Linked DNA regions of Drosophila melanogaster. The protein of the gene in region 3 purifies or fractionates together with the protein of the main gene of each other region. This does not show direct contact. Each region holds a gene or a part of one and is shown on either strand. Other genes may lie near its edges.

The links. Proteins that work in one complex are often made in the same cells at the same time.
Region 1: the proteins of Klp98A (region 3) and Rab3 purify together in Drosophila melanogaster (affinity purification with western blotting, with the first as the bait; one study listed by BioGRID). This does not show direct contact.
Region 2: the proteins of Klp98A (region 3) and Rab14 purify together in Drosophila melanogaster (affinity purification with western blotting, with the first as the bait; one study listed by BioGRID). This does not show direct contact.

The regions. Positions count from the first base shown.
Region 1 is NT_033778.4:10,725,625-10,731,092, forward strand, and holds the start of Rab3 (Rab3), read right to left. Parts: upstream 3,580-5,468; 5' UTR 2,981-3,579; intron 1,649-2,980; exon of another isoform or gene 1,436-1,648; coding exon of another isoform or gene 1-1,435. Other genes in the region: CAH13 (carbonic anhydrase 13), read left to right, coding at 1-1,435; Daao1 (D-amino acid oxidase 1), read right to left, coding at 4,015-4,564, 4,634-4,779, 4,861-4,984, 5,050-5,237. UniProt on the Drosophila melanogaster protein: Involved in exocytosis by regulating a late step in synaptic vesicle fusion. Could play a role in neurotransmitter release by regulating membrane flow in the nerve terminal.
Region 2 is NT_033779.5:14,354,937-14,359,843, reverse strand, and holds Rab14 (Rab14), read right to left. Parts: upstream 2,804-4,907; 5' UTR 2,637-2,803; coding exon 2,573-2,636; intron 2,564-2,572; exon of another isoform or gene 2,504-2,563; coding exon 2,390-2,503; intron 2,325-2,389; coding exon 2,144-2,324; intron 2,090-2,143; coding exon 1,907-2,089; intron 1,839-1,906; coding exon 1,661-1,838; 3' UTR 1,080-1,660; downstream 1-1,079. Other genes in the region: Pgant35A (polypeptide N-acetylgalactosaminyltransferase 35A), read right to left, coding at 1-464; l(2)34Fd (lethal (2) 34Fd), read left to right, coding at 4,847-4,907.
Region 3 is NT_033777.3:27,555,900-27,561,584, forward strand, and holds the start of Klp98A (Kinesin-like protein at 98A), read right to left. Parts: upstream 3,247-5,685; 5' UTR 2,474-3,246; coding exon 2,427-2,473; intron 1-2,426. Other genes in the region: CG5646 (uncharacterized protein), read right to left, coding at 3,742-4,138, 4,201-4,315, 4,375-4,615, 4,864-4,976, 5,276-5,321. UniProt on the Drosophila melanogaster protein: Plus end-directed motor protein involved in asymmetric cell division of sensory organ precursor (SOP) cells by playing a role in the asymmetric localization of Sara-expressing endosomes to the pIIa daughter cell but not to the pIIb cell.

The sequences.
Region 1 (5,468 bases), on a different chromosome or scaffold from region 3:
GGAAACACTCAAGGAGATATATCAGCGTGTACTCCTTTTGATTAGGACTCCACTTCAATTTGGGAACACATCTTGCTCAAGAAATTCTGCTCCAGTATACGGTTACGACATGCAACATGGTCCGCATACTTGGTTGCCGAAGTCCAGGTCATCTTCCAGTTCTGTGGAGGAAGCGACTTTCTTCCAGAGCCCAGTCAACATCGATGAATCTCAAATTCAACGCATGGCCATAAGAGAGCTGCTGAGCTGGAACCACTATGATGATCTGCCCGCCAGCATCACTCTGGAGAATACGGGTCAGACACTTATCCTCCGTGCCCAGTTCCACGGTAATGCACCTACTATCAGTGGAGCTGATCTCCTGGCCAGCTATACGTTTCTGGAACTGCGCTTCCACTGGGGCTGGTGCAACAGCGAGGGATCCGAGCATACGATCAACCACCGAAAGTTCCCACTTGAGATGCAGGTGATGCACAAAACGGGATCGGGTATTCCCCGTACTTGCACCAGCAGCTATGATCTCCTGATGATCGGATACGTCTTTGAGCTATCCGCGCACAATCCGTTCCTGGATCCCCTGGTGCAGAATTTGCGATTGGTTCAGAAGCCTGGAAAGCGTGTCCAGATTTCTCCATTTCCCATATCCTACTTGATGTATCAATTTCGATCTGGATTCTATTCCTACGGCGGTTCGCTGACCCATCCGCCCTGTTACCAGGGCACCGAATGGTTCATCTTTCCCGAATCCCTAGCCATTAGCGACTTTCAGCTGCGTCACTTTCGTTTGCTCCTAGGTCCGGATGGGATCTCGCCCATAGCCCGTAACAGCCGACCAGTCCAGCACATGGGCAATCGAGTTGTAAGCCTAAACTGCTTCTGCCCATACGATGCCGCCCAGTTGTCCAGAATGCATGTGGAGCTATGCCAGGCTCAAGCTCAGGAGGAGCACGAAGAGGAACGTATCGAGCAGGAGCAGCAATTGGAACTAGAGCGCGAACTGGAGCGGCAAAGGGAAAGCGACTTGAAAGCTCAGCAGGAGCAAGCAAGCGAGGCGGCCATCGCTGCTTCCGAGGATGAAGGTCAGCTAATTGAGACCATAGATACCACGACCATAATAACTAGTAGCAGCAACACTAGCATATGCATGACTACGCTGATGCGGAAGGATTCGCCTAGGCAACTGGAACAGCCATCTCAGATGCCTATGATGGCTCCCAATCAGGGTAACTTTTGCAATCCTGGCATTGTGATATTCAGCGGTGTCAATGAATCCAAGTCCAAGTGCGGCATCCATCAGGATACACCGGAGGAGCTAATGATCCATAACAGAGGAACGGGAAGAAACATGGGTGTACAGAATGGCTGCAAGGCCGATGCCTTTTGCGGCGTGGGCGATGGCGTCAACATCGGAATTCGCATGGAGCTGGTCGAGTAGCTAATGTGCTATTATCAACCTTTATGTCATCCATAGACACTCCATTTGTGGTCCATGCTGCACGAAGAACCGGTGGGGCTAGATGGTGCACATGAAACACCGGTCAAGGCCAACTGGTGGCCAACCGGAGTTCTCTCTGTGCCCGGAAGTGATTGAATCGCGTGCGTGTGGATTAAACAAGTTGCGTTTATATTTTCTAAAGCATAACCCCCCAATTCCCTTGACTTTTAATCCTTGGAGTAGGCGGGAGGGGTTGGCTTTAGCGGCCTGACTTGGGAAAGGACCCACTTGATTATCCCTGTCACGTCACTGGGAAAACTCAAAGCGAATTTCAGAGCTGAACGGCGGGTTGGTGGGCTGGTGGGCTGGTGCGGCCTTGAAAACTTTCAGCCTTGGCTTGGGCAAGTGACAACAGTCTCGGCTTACAGTTTGCCATTCGGGATGGTTGGCTGCCTGTTTTCCATATGCAATGAAGGCGGCGACATTGTGTCGATAATTTGTGTATATAGCCTGGTTCTCCTGGTTCCGTTTCCGCTCATCCTTATTTCCCCCGTCCAGAATCAGAAGTTGCGCAGCGGCAAAACGCTGTCAGATTGCTGATGAACGACTTGGTGTAGAAGGACCGAGTGCGCGCGTCATCGTCAAGGATTTTGCTGGCAAAAGGACAGGCTTCGCTCCTGTCAAGCCTCTTCAGGCCCAGAAATATCCTGGAGGGGCCCGAACCCAAACCCAAACCCAAACCCAAACGCAGACACCAAAGAGGGGCCGCAATAAGAGGTCTTCAACGGCAGACGGCCCTTATCACAGGCGCTGTGTGGAAATGTTTTTATCTGCTCGACTGCGTGTAATTATCGATTTTTCTGTTGTTTTCCCCCTGCGTGGGGGTGGCTGCCAGACCCTGCCCCCATTACCCACCCCCTTAACTGCTCTTTCATGTTTCAAATTTCCAATGATTTGGCAGCTGTTCAGCGGTCGGCAGCTGCGGGCTTGTTTAATTATTGATAAGAAACCCAATATTGGCCAAAACGAGAACTCAATCCTGCCTTAACGGTTCCAATTGGAAAAGTTTCAATTTAAGGTTTGTTGTCAAACGTAAATATTAGGCATGTGCATAAATACCGAGTTATCAATCAATGGGAATAAACAATTAACTCTTTCCTGGAAGTTGTAAAACTACATATGTATTATTTGGCCACATTCATATGTATGTATAGCCCATATCTATTGTCAATAAGATATGATACACTAAGCTGAAATCCATCAGAAGTTTTTTTGGAACTACTATAAAAGTAACATTGAGTTATTAAATACCTTTTAAATACTTTTAAAAAGTTGATGTGTAATCTTTATAATGTCAAAATCAATGAAGTTTAATGTAAAAATAATAAATTCCAACCAACGGCCTCATTATTTGACAATATGGAACTGATACTGCAAAGTTTTTGATGCGAAAACTCAGGTATTTTGGTTTTAGCTGGAACTAGTACCCCCATTCACCCATTTTGGTCCATCATGGCGGATACTTAATGTGTCAGATAAACTTACTCTTTCTTGAGGTTATTGCGGTTACAGTAGTATCTGCTGCTAATATCTCAGTTGCTGTTTATGATGGTGCTGCTGCAGATCCTGCTGTCACAAGAATATCCTGCTGTTTTCGATGTGTGGGTGAGAGGTACGCCGTGTTGTTGCTCGCACATACACACAAATCGATAATGGCAGCTCCTTTCGCTGAAGGGATAAGGAAAAGGACTCGACTCAGCCTTGGCACTGGACTGACATACGCCGCGATTTCACGTCGATTGATTCGTCGAGTTGTTTACGGTTACCCAATCAACTATTCACACGCCCGCGGACCCACTCGTCTGGCCAGAATTGAACTGACTCCGGCTGCAGTGGCTCAATTATTCAGCAAATGCAACGCACCAACTGTTCTACCTTTTTGCCTCGACACGTCGACACCAAAGGACACACAATTTTCAATTTTTTCTTCGCTCTCAGGCGGCGAATTGACTGGTGCGGCGAAAACGGGCCAGTTTTGTATACGTTTTCATAATTCAACTGTTTCAACCTGGCTGACTGGCTGGCTAACTGACTGACTGGATGACTGGCTGCTGCCCACACAATTTCCCTGCTGCTTTTCCTGCTGCTGAAAATCGATGGGTTTCCGTGCCTGGGGTGTCTGTGTGTGGGCGTAGCTTTCGCGGCGATTTCGGGCGAGCTTTCCATTCATGCGCCGGTCATGCGCACTTCGCACTTCCGCAGCCTTGTGGAGCACTGGCCCAGGGGTTCATTTGAATTTATTCGTGGGCGCGAATTTATTCGTTCACTTTGTGAACCCATGTTCTTATCCTGAAACAATATAGACCAAGGAACTCATAAAAACAGTAAATAAAATTTATAAGAATTGTTTCTTTAAATATTCTAAATATTCCTTCTTGAAACCTTTGGAACTGGCGCATATCGCAACCTTGAGAACTGCAATTAGTTTATTGCACAATAAAAAATCCAAATCAAATCTGGGTTCAAAGATTCTGAGTATAAAGAGTTTAATGACCAACAATTAACAACGATTTTACCACCTACAGTTTACTGTTTCCCGCTAGTAGATCGCGTACCAATCGAACTGCGTACATAGCCGTTCCAGGAGCCGTGGTCACACCGTAGCCGCCGTGGCCGTAGTTGTGGACTACCTTCAGCCGCCTGCCTTCCGGATTCGTGATCAGTTCTGGCTCCACCCGAACGACGGAGCGGTGTGGCCGCAGACCAACACATTCCCGCACGATCTCCGCTTTCCGGAGACTGGGCAGCAAATCGTAGCAACGCTCTCGAATGGCCATGCTATCGTATTTGCACCACTCGGTGTTGTAGCTGTCGAATTGGCGACATCCTCCCAGGGTCACAGTCTCAAATCCGGGAAGAACGTAGGTGTCGTAATCGCCGTAGAAAGCCGTCTTTACCCAGGGAGCACGCACTTTGAGCACTTGACCCCGAATGGGAACCAAGTGCTGGTCCCCACACAACTCCTTGGCTCCCATTCCGGTGCAGTTAAGGAGCAAGTCAATGTTCTGCGGCACTTCGAAAAAGCTGTTCACATGCTGACGGACAACCTCTCCTCCGTTCTCCAGGAATCTACAATATGTTAATATTTACGATTATTTTCAAATTGTTTCTCTTTCATATCATAAAACAGCTACTCACTTTTTAGTGGCATAGGGCAAGAAGAGGCGGCTTTCCGTTAGGCATGTGGTGAAGAAGGATCCGTACTTCCAGCCGCCGTTGCATAGCCTCAGTTCCTCCTCGGTGGCTCTTCGGTAGACGGGCAATAGTTTCTCAATAAAGTGGTTCTAAGGCAGCCAACAACAAAGTTAATCGAATTAAGCCGATGAAGATAAGAATCACTGATTGTCGACTGCCCGGCAACGTACCCGTACGATGGAGGGGGAGGTGCGGGAGTAAATATAGCCGGATAATTGGCACACGCCCGCCAGAGGAGCCTCCTTGGAGCGACGCAGCTCATCCCAGTAGTTGAAGGCATCGGTCATCCATTGTCTACGATGAAAAGAAAAGTCGTTAGATGCACAACAGGTGTGTTTGAATCCCAAACAGATTCTCACTGCGTAATTTTCTGGGTGGGGCCCATAAAGCTGGTTCCAGGTCGGAAAATTCCAGCCGCCACATAGCTGACGGTGTCCTCGTTAAACCGATCCGCAATCACGGAAACCCTTGCTGTGGGAAACTCCTTCTGGAGTTCTAAGGCGGTCGTAAGACCAATGATACCGCTTCCCAAGACTCCGAAATGCATTCTGGATCCGCTTTGAGTTGATACCCAATCCCAATGGAAGGCGATTTGGTACTGAGCATGCTTTTAAAGGTGCTTGCGAAGCTGGCTGCGTCTTATCAGCTCTTATCAAATCCGCTCTCCATCGCGCCTCCAAAGATGAGATAAACTTTACTGCTCTCTTTTAAAATTGCAATAAACACTTTTTCCGTTGTTTTTATTATGGTTGCAAACAGTGCTGCACGCTTACAGTAG
Region 2 (4,907 bases), on a different chromosome or scaffold from region 3:
CACATGACTATGGAGGCCTGGGGCAGATTTTCCGCTTCCGTGGTCTCCTGGCGATCGCACACCTTGTGCCGAGTGTCTGGGATCGCCCGGAAGAGTCCTATGTTATTGGACACCAGCGCGTTGAAGGCGTGATGCTTGTAGCCAATGTCGCGTATGTACTTGTCCTGCTTGTTGCGCACCACACCCAACAGTTCCAATTGCTCCGGATCACTGGGCGGCTTGGGTGCCGCCGGCGATTCGCCAGTGGTAATGCTGGCATTTGGAGTGCATCCGACGGTGACCCTGGCCTGGTAGCTCAGCTCGGCCCGTGGCGTTGCGTTCCCTTCGTCGATCCTCCATCCTGCCGAGCGGATGGAGCTGCGCAGGCTGTGCGAGTAGAAAAGCAGCGCCAGCAGCCAGACGACCGCCACCAGAAGGGTGCCCAGGCCGCAGGATTTGCACAGGAGGCGCTTGATTTGCATCATGGATCGAGATTAGATTACGTTGTGCGCTTCCCTGGCTACTTAAGCAGCTACTTTGTCACTTTCATGATGATCGGAATAAATTAAATTTAATTTGCATACCATGGCATTCGCACAAAAGCGCGCACACAGCGATGCCACCGAAGATGCTAGCTCAGAGTTTTTCCCGCTAAATTTCAAGGAAATCGAAAATAGTGTAGAATAGTGTAGTGTAGAAAACAAAAATTGGACTGATAACCAGTTAAAATGATTAATTAGACAACCAGCAACAAACAAAAGAACAGTATACGAAAAATCGTTGTTTGACTTACAAACTTTATTGTTCATAGTCATAATCAGCTGATTTCCAACCCAACGTTAGCATCACTAAATAAAACAAGAATGAAGTTATGCGCAAGTCAAAGTTGAGGGTATTCCACTAAATGGATTAAAAAAGCTTTTTACAAAATATTTAAGTAAATCGTAAGTACCCAAATATTTATAAAATTTAAATCTATTAAATGGAAATCCGGTAAATTATAAAATTATCCAGCGATTTGGTGTAGAATTAAATATAAACGAATGGTTAAATATGCAAATTAAAATTTAAATTATTTGAAAGAGAAATTCATTTCTATTGGTAGGGGTTTTATAAATACCATTTTATTTATTTCCTATTGCATTATGCCATTAATACATCGTAAATATTCATATAACATTGATCGTTTCCTCCAATTCTTGCACGCGACAACAACAAATACTCAACAAAAAATTAGGGAGATACAAAAATTCATACATATATATATTATATACAGGGATTCATCAGCCAACAAAAACATGATCTATATCTCAAACGAATTCATCTATAAATTGAGACCGAAGGATGGTGTTAGTGCGATAAACTTTTCGAAATTTCATGGTCAAAACTTTAGTTTGCGCCAACAAACATGTTTAATTTTCTAGTATTTATGCTTAACCGATACAATAAATGTTGCAATGCTTGCGTCTTATTAAGCGAAAGGACTTTATATTTTCTTTTTCTGTTTTTTTTTTTTTTTGTGGTTGCTGTCGCTGTTGTTGGCTCACACATTGATGCTTAATCGAATTATTTAACTACATACATTGGTTTTTGCTTGGGCATCGGTAGATTACGAGTCGGCTAAAAATAAAAGTTGATTTGTATAACTAGGTTTTGCGTAAAGTTAGGTTCCATCATTCATTTAGCACGAGCACTGATCCTTGGCGCCCGTAGCCTCGCTACTCAGCGAAGTTCGCGACGGCTGCGATGGCCTGTGCTGAACTCCGGACTCGGAGGCGTTCAGATCGAGCCGACCCTCCTGGATGTTCTGGTAAATCTTGCGTGCGGTCTCCAGAAAAGCCTCCTCCACATTCTGGCCACTGTTTGGGCGATAAAAAAAAAGATAATCAGTATATGCTCAAACACTATGCTTCCAGTTGAAACTCACGTCATAGCGCTCGCTTCGAGAAACATTAGGCCGTTCTCGTCGGCAAACTCCTTGGCCTCCTCGTAGGTAACCTCCCGAGTGCTCTCCAGATCCGATTTGTTGCCAATGAGAAAGATCACAGTGCTGGGATTGGTGAGATTGCGAGTGTCGGTAAGCCAGCTGCTCAGGTGATTGTACGTGGAGCTGGAATGGTCAAGTTGTAAAGCAATTTCTCAAATAGTAGCTTGCTTCGCTTACCGCCTGGTAATATCGTAGACCATCAGCGCACCAGCTGCTCCACGGTAATAGGAGCGTGTCACTGCCCTGAATCGCTCCTGACCCGCTGTGTCCCAGATCTGTAGCTTGATCTTTTTGTCGTCCACCTCAATGATGCGTGTGCCGAACTCCACGCCAATGGTGTGAGGACAATTGGCCATGACTGCAGGACGGCAAGTAGAGATTAGTTCTTATTACATACATTATTACTCAGCACAGTCTACTCACATTTCTTCTCGGTGAACTGGTGGAGCAGGCAGGACTTGCCCACGCCCATGTCACCAATGATGATGTATTTAAAGATATAGTTGTAGTTGTATGGCGCTGCAGTCATGTTGGGACCTAAAAAGCAAGCGAAATTATTATTATTATTACATTGCAGAGTCATTGAGTATATAGAATATTTCACACATTTTTCAATAAAGTAGTCTATGCGTTCGTGCAGTTTGTTCACCACGCTGCGCACTTTGCTCATCTTGACACCGGCAGAAATGAACTCTGACCCAATCAAACAGTGTTAACTACTACTATCAGCTCCTCATTTGAATGTCCAACCGTAGTCGCTGCTTATCAACAAACCGAGGCGCTGCATTAATTTGTTCTGCGTCGACACCACATTTTGTTCCCCTTTCTCGAACTGGCCCCGATATTTCTTTTTAAGGCCTGCTTGTGTTTGAACAGCCGACCGGGTTTGTTTGCCTGCCAACTGAAGCCAAAAAAAAAAAAAAATAAGAAAGAGGCAAGCTTCAAGAGCGGCGGGTATATCCACTTCATGCCACTTGACTTTGTCCATTCGCAGTATCCGTGTCGTTCGAAAGCCTTTGATTTGTCCGCAGTTAAGGGGCGCTGAAGAGAGTGAATTGAACCCTTCGCCCAAGCTGAAAGCGATTTGGATCAAGGTCGCCGAGCAAGCAATCGTGGGAATTCAATTATTAAGAGCAGTACGCGCGAAGTTATTCATCAAGTTAGTTTGTATTTAGGGTAATCATCCTGCCTTACTTCATATGAATGAATTTCATACAAAAGAATGTGACTTAGCAGCATATAGTGTGAAAAGATGAGTATCAATTATGGATTCTTAATTGCTCATACTTAAATCATCAAATACAGTTATAATCGCTTATCATTGCTTGTCAAAGTGACAAGTGCATATCAGTTTAATAGGCTCTATGACGGGCAGTTTAGACTAACTAAGTAGTAGGTCTCGGTCTCGAGTCTTATCAGTCAAGCGCCAAAGGCCAAACATCAGTGGAGCAATCAATGGAGGCGAAGTACATATGTACTTATTTGCAAAATGTGTTGAATGGAAGTGGATCATCATTGCCCCTCATAAAAGGAACACAGCGGCGCACCCATAACAGGGAAAATAACGAAAGGAGTATGAGAAATATATATTTATACACAGACGAAGTATGTATACCCTTTGGCAAAAAATCTTAAATATAAATATACTTTTATAAATGTGCGCTTTATATTCCATTTCTAAGATATAACTGAATACGATTTGATATTTGAGTATCTACAAATAAGCGCACATCCATTCAAACTAATAAAATAAGCCCGCATTGAAGACAACAACGCAATAAGACACAACAAAATGAAAAAGAAATATATTAATAACTGATAACAACTACTAAGAAAACTTCTGATTTATTATAATTTTTTATTCATGCTCGCCTACATTTTGAAAAAACCTTGTTTGCATAATTCATATAATAAATTAATATATAAGCACAGGTAAATATTTCTATGATAACTCATACACTCATATAATAATCCATCTTATAAAAACTAATTTAGAGTATTTATTTATAGCGTATACTAAACAAACTCCTCACCTACCGATTTTTAAGTAGAGTGGCGGCCGTTTTTGCCCCACCATCCCCTAAAAATTCAAAAAATAAATTATACACCATAAAAACCTGAAACATCCCCAGAATTAATCGATTTTTGTAAATCATATTTATTTTCTTAACTTGGTCACAAAACAGTAACTCCCCATTGCAGGGTATCAAAGCAATCAGGGGGTGTATACAACAACAATGGAGTGCTGCTGCCTAACGACAAAAACAAGAGAGAGCGAGAGCACAAGGGAAAGTTGCGGAGCACCCACAGCTGCACTGCGTCACCCCTTCGCAGACGGTTTTCCATTTCGCATAATTTAATCAGTGTTTAATTGGCTTAAGGAAAAACAACGAATATTACTCACCGTTTTAGATCACTTTAGTTTTAGTCCACCTTAGGGAGCGAACGGAATGTGTAACGTAGGGCGGTTACGCAGAGCGGGGGGTACTGTGTGTATGTGTGCGTATTGTTGTTTGGCTGTGCGGAATTCGATTGCAATTTTTGGGCAATTTGGCGATGCAAAATGCAGTTCACTTTCGTGCTAGCACGCACACTGGCTTCGCGGGGTTGCGGGGCTGCACCGAGAGGCAATTATTGCGATTATTTTCAATTGGTAGGTCGATGCAAATCAGTAGTCTTTTTTCACTGCTTTTGCGTTCTCTTGTTTTGCTTGGTTTCCTGCGGTCACACTGAGCAATTGGCAAGCCAAGGGTCACACTGCCGCGATAGGTGCTTATCGCAGCCAGATGCTATCGACAATCGTGTCTATCGATAGAGGGCGCACGTGTTGCGGACTTCGTTTGTTTATGTTTTAATTTTGAGCAAAAATCGTCCCTCAAGATGTTCGTAAACGAAGTTAACGATGTGAAGATCTACAACCTGAGCGCCGGCAAGTCGGTGC
Region 3 (5,685 bases):
GCAATCCAATTGACATGTTAGCCCTGTGATCAGACGACTCGACGCTCCACAGCTAGCTGGATACAAATTATAAAAGAAAATCCGGTTTGTAGCGAATACAGAAATGAAGAAGAAACAACCGACGACTTGATTGCAACATCAAAAGGAAAAGCGGCGCAAATAAAAAAAAGAGAGAGAGAGATGAAAAACTCGCGTCTGGGCATAGATAGAACATTCGTTTAAAGATGGAACCGAACCGGTTGACTGGAGTTCATAGGGGCACCCACACATCGAAATAGACTTCAGCTGAAAAAGTAACACATGCAAAGGCGCCTCTAAGCAAACAAAAGATGCACGATAGCAGGCATCGAAAAAGTGGAAAAACGTGGATTTAGCATCTTCATAGATCCAAATAGACGTCTATCATAACTTTAAGGCCAAGATGGACAGAAGAAGATCACATCATTCATTTACAGTCTGTATTCGGCACTATGGGAAGATCGTGAGATTTGGGGGAACAATTAGTTATTAGCGTAGATTATTGTAATTTTGTGTATTCATTTATTTCCCCAATTGTTCTCTGTACCTTTGAGAGTTGGGTTGTTCCCATGATTGTACTGTTTAACTTTTACTCAAATGTTCTGTCTTCTTTGCAGTGAAAAGGGTGTTTGTTCTGCGACTGTAAAGCTCTAGGAATCCCATGGCAGCCGTAGTGCCTTGTCCCATTTCGAGCGACAATTTTGGGTCATTCCCCCCATCTTCAACATGGGCTGCCACGATTACGCCGCTCCACTCAAGTCGACGCAGTACTCATTGCGTTTGAGTGGCTTTAATTCGTTAATCTTTGGCCCAATGCGAGTGCATCATCCAGCTGGAGATTACGGGAAGCGAGAAAACTCCGGCAAACAGCGGGAAATTCTTTGCGGCATCTGATTCATTTCCCAATTAAACATTTATGCGGGACACCAGCAAATTTCGCTGCTGTGACTCATGAGCGATGGGATGTGGAACTTGCTCGGCCAGTTTCGTGCCAAAATCAAAAATGTTTATTTGGTTTGCTTTTTTTCGGGTGCAGTGCCTATAAAGCACACTTACATATATACGTAATTATAGTAGATATCTGCTTTTGTTTTCGCATGGAGGCTACTGTGAGCAGTCAGTCTTGCATGTCCACTGAGGAGCCGTGGAAATATGTGCTAAAAATGTCCGTCCGGAGGCCAAAGAAACTATGCAAAAATATTTACAGTGAATGCTGCCAAAAGGAGAACGGGTTTCTCTTAAAAAATTTAAAGAGGTTTGTACATATGTACACTGCTAATTAGGATTATTATTCAAAGTGATCATCGACTACTAATCCAACTTGTATCCGTTTGCCTTATCGAGTGCTCCCTGTCATAGTGAGTAGCTGCTTTGCATAAGTTTGAGCCAAAACGATGATGTCACAACGCGGCAGGGAGTTAGCTCCACTTTTTGCCATTATAATTACAGCATTTGCCGCTGATAATGTTGTTTTATTTCATGCACAATTAACACACGGCAGCCGTAAACTCACAGCGCACAAAGCTCGTTTTGTTTGGGTTAATGTGATTTTTATATCGAACGCCAGAGATGAATGACATCATTACGGAATGTATCTTTCTTAGCACACATATGTACATATCTTTCTTTGTGAGGCACTTCTGCCAACTTCTCGGTGCGTTCGTCTTTCTTTCGAACGCTTTTCTCGATTCGGTTTTATTCGCAAGTAACTGTGCCAAAAGCAATGACCGCTGCGCCAGATAGCCAAGATAAAGACACAAAAAAAATAAATAAAAATAAAAAACAAGCAGCAACATAAATGCTTAACGATCATAGACAAGGCTGGTAAAAATAAAAAGGTTTAATGTGGTTTTAAGTAGGCAGTCTAGTACACTTTTTACATGTATTTCAAGGGGTTTTTTGTAACGAAATTTGTTTTCTAGACACTTTTGTGCTTTTTAAGTGAAATGCGCAACCAAATTCCATACTTTTTTTCAAGGGGCGTTTTAAAGTTAATACGCGATAGAAAGCCCAACAAACAAACATTCTCCTATAATGATAATGATAAGTGAGGTCATAATAATAAGGCAAATCTATATCTTTTTTGTTTAAAGTCATCGTCACCCCATTGCTTAGTCATATTTTTCAAAATCTAAATTAAAGCTGCTTTTTGAGTAATAAAAGAGATTGTTAGAACATATTCCACAACCAACTTAATATTTCAGTTTTTGATTAAGATTGGGAATTGTAGTTTTTTTTTAAAGATAATATTCATATTCATAGAAACATAATCTTGAATATTTAGCTGTGCTTTTTGTTGATCTAAGCTAAGTTTGACTACCCTATTTCTGTGTAGATTCTATTTGCAGTGTTGCTATTTCCTTGACCATGGCTGTGTCTATAAATAGGCGTAGGATATCTGGGCTTACCGGGAGTTGAAGGGTCGAACCCTTACGGCGACCTTGAGTGACGACATTTCGATGGTGGCGATGGGGGTGGCTACGCGGGATTCTTGTACTCCTTTATTTGTTTATTTGGGTGGTGGGTGGTGCGGATTTGGGGGGCGTTTTCAGCACGTACAGTAAACCAAAAGCAAAGAGATGGGTACCAAACAAAAAAAATAGGAAAAAACTTGCAGCAGCAGGTTTTGTTCTTGTTGTTGTTGTTGTTGTTCTCGCCTGACCACTTGCCACGTAATTTGATTTTTTTGGGATGGATTGTCAATGGGGGGAGGGGTGGTAAAAGAAATGGGGGTGGGGGGCAGCAGTGGAAACACAATTCACTCTGTTGCGTTTTTGTCCGACTTTTGGTCTTTCTGCTTTCCGTTTGCTCTGCTTTTCAGTTTGTTTTTCTCTTCGTCTTCTTGTACACCGTTATTTCGATTGCGAGCCTCCCGTTCGCAAAATCAGCGAACTTTGCGAACTTTTCGCGGCTCCACAAACAACTGCACATACTACCACTAATAAAATTAAGATTAAATTGTGCGCAATTCGACATTAATTCACTTGCACAATTTTTCCTGCCATTTTTTTCGGCGGCTGCTCATTGCAACTCGCTGCGTTTTTGCGCTGACCATATGTGTCTGCCCATATATTCACTGGACATGGGTCATTAAGTGCAGCACGATGAAAATAAGAAAAATAGCACGCTGTATGTACACTTTGTTACTTCGATTTGCGTTTATCTCTGTTTTTTAACGAACGCGACGCGATGTTGTGTTGTTGTTCATCGTTCGACTCGGTGTGACCGTTCGCAGAACAGTGCTAATAAACTGCGGAGTTACACACTCGCCTTCTGGCAGTGCGGTCACACCAATTCGATGTTTTCAACATTCATAGAAATGGTTGATAACACGGATAGCGCATACTCAAACCGATTTGAATGTTTTCTAAATTCAAAAACTTGTTCCTATTGTTCAAACCAAAGATTTTTAAAAAAATTAGATCTAACTTTAGAGGCAGATCTCAAATACTCAGCAATATAACCTTGTTCATGGACGCAATTTGTCATCATTTTAATTTTAAAGCTTACAAAATTGAGGTGCATTTCGAAAATATTAAGCCCGTGTTGATACGATAAAACGTTTACAAAGTGAGGCAATTAAAGCTATTTGTTAGTGCTGTTAAACAGCATTGAAGTAAATTATAGAATAGGTTTGCATTTTTCGATCACACTCATTCTCAGTTGACAACAATGTACACAGCATACAAACTAAGGCTCCTAATCTCCACCAGACTGCCTGGGTCATACGTAGGTGCCGTTCCACCGCTGACACCACTCCAGCGCATACTCGTAGCCCAGGAAAGTGGCGGCATTGAAGGGAACCGCCCGCGCCACCAGCATCCAGCTGCCGCGGAAGATGCTCCTCCAGCCGTAGGCTCTGTACTGCACCCGCACGCAATGGAAGATGCCCCGGTACTTGTGATTCTCATCCGCCTGCATCAGCGTCTTGACCACGTCGAACGGAATGACACACACCCACGAGATGACTCCCGCCCAGGCGCCGGCCAGCGTGGTCACCAGCAGGTTCACACTGGATCCGTCCGACTGACTGCGTCGCCGGCGCACAAAGTCCCGCCTGTCCATGTAGTCAACGCCCTGGCGATAGGCCAGCATATAGATTCCATAGGGCAGGACGTCGCTGTAACCAAACGACCATTGAAAGATTCATGTATTTTTGGACTACCACCTGGACTAACTTACCGGCACATCATGGGCAAAAGGCCGCGATAGAGCCCCGAGATGCCATCAGTCTTGAGTATCCTTTTGAACGTGCCAAAGGCGGTCCTTCTCTGGCCATACAGATAGTCACTGTAATCTACGGAATTTCACAAATTAATCCTCCATTTTGGGATTAAAAAATCAAGTAGAACCCACAAGTGGCTGTCTGCAGGCGAACCTTGATCAGCTCCATGGGACAGGCGATGAAGGACTGCACGAATCCCGCCACAGAGCCCGCCAGGAACATGTTGTGGTACTCCAGCTGCTCCCGCTGGTAGTCACTGTGGCACACCTTTCTCAGCTGCCGCAGATGGTTTCCATAGATGCCGAAAAGCAGCGAGTTGATCGCTCCCGTCGAGATGAACGGGAAGAACATGCCCCTGTAGAAGCCGTTGACCTTTGAGGCGATGCTGATCGATTAAACCCATCACGACCCACCTAGGCGCTCTAAGGGATTGCGTCCAGTCGGAGTCGGGATTAAGAATAGGACAAAGCCATTTTGGCTGGTTTAAATATTTGAAAAGTTATGAATAAAAAAGGAGATTGGAAGATCGACATGTACATCGTTATCCAAATATTTCACATAAAATTTGTATCCTTGAAAAAAAGTTTCCAACTAGACGCAATCCTTCTTTCCAAACTTACCCCATTATTTCTGCTGTAGATCTGTTGAATGGCTGTCACAACGGATGAATTTGAGGCCTGTTGCCAAACTTTGATCGTGTCGAGTGGGTGGGCCACCAGCACCCCGCAGGCACCTGAATATCAGAGTATAAAAATCAAGAATGCAGCATAAATTAATTAAAATTGTGGCCACAAAGTTAAACAACACATGTTGAACGGCCGCCGCCGCCGACAGCCGCTTGCCAAGAATCCGATGGATCAGGGGCGCCGCACGTGAACTTGACCATGGCGCCCGTTTTCCGCCGGGACTGAGGCAGTTCCCCTCAACAAGTGGCCTATCGCCACACGGCTGCTGCATTGCGTCATGCATGGCCCAGAGTTCTGACCAAATTGGGATGAATACCAGCTGGAGCTCTGCCGCTCCGTCACTCACCACCAAAGCATCCGGCCACAAAGTCGCAGTAGTTCTCCCACTTCATGGATGCGGATTTTCAGCGAACGCTTGGAGTTTTCGGAAAATTGATTTTTCTCGCGATTTTCCAACTGCACCTCACGACGGCAGCGAACCAACTGCAGTGCACAGCTTTTGTGGCTCGGCAGCAAAGCTCTGCGATTTCGCCAGCTTTCCCAGCGAACAGAAGCTGATTGCTAAAAAATAGGCAAACCGAATGCTCACTTTTCAAAAAAAGATACTTTCTAACGAAAAAGTAACTCTGCTAAGCATAATGATATCTTGTGGGTATACAGCTCAAAACTATTCAGTTCTAAACTTAAAATTTTCAAACCAAACTTTCTAGAATTTTTCCTACGCATAGGAAAAAGAAGTGTAGAAAGTTTCTTAGC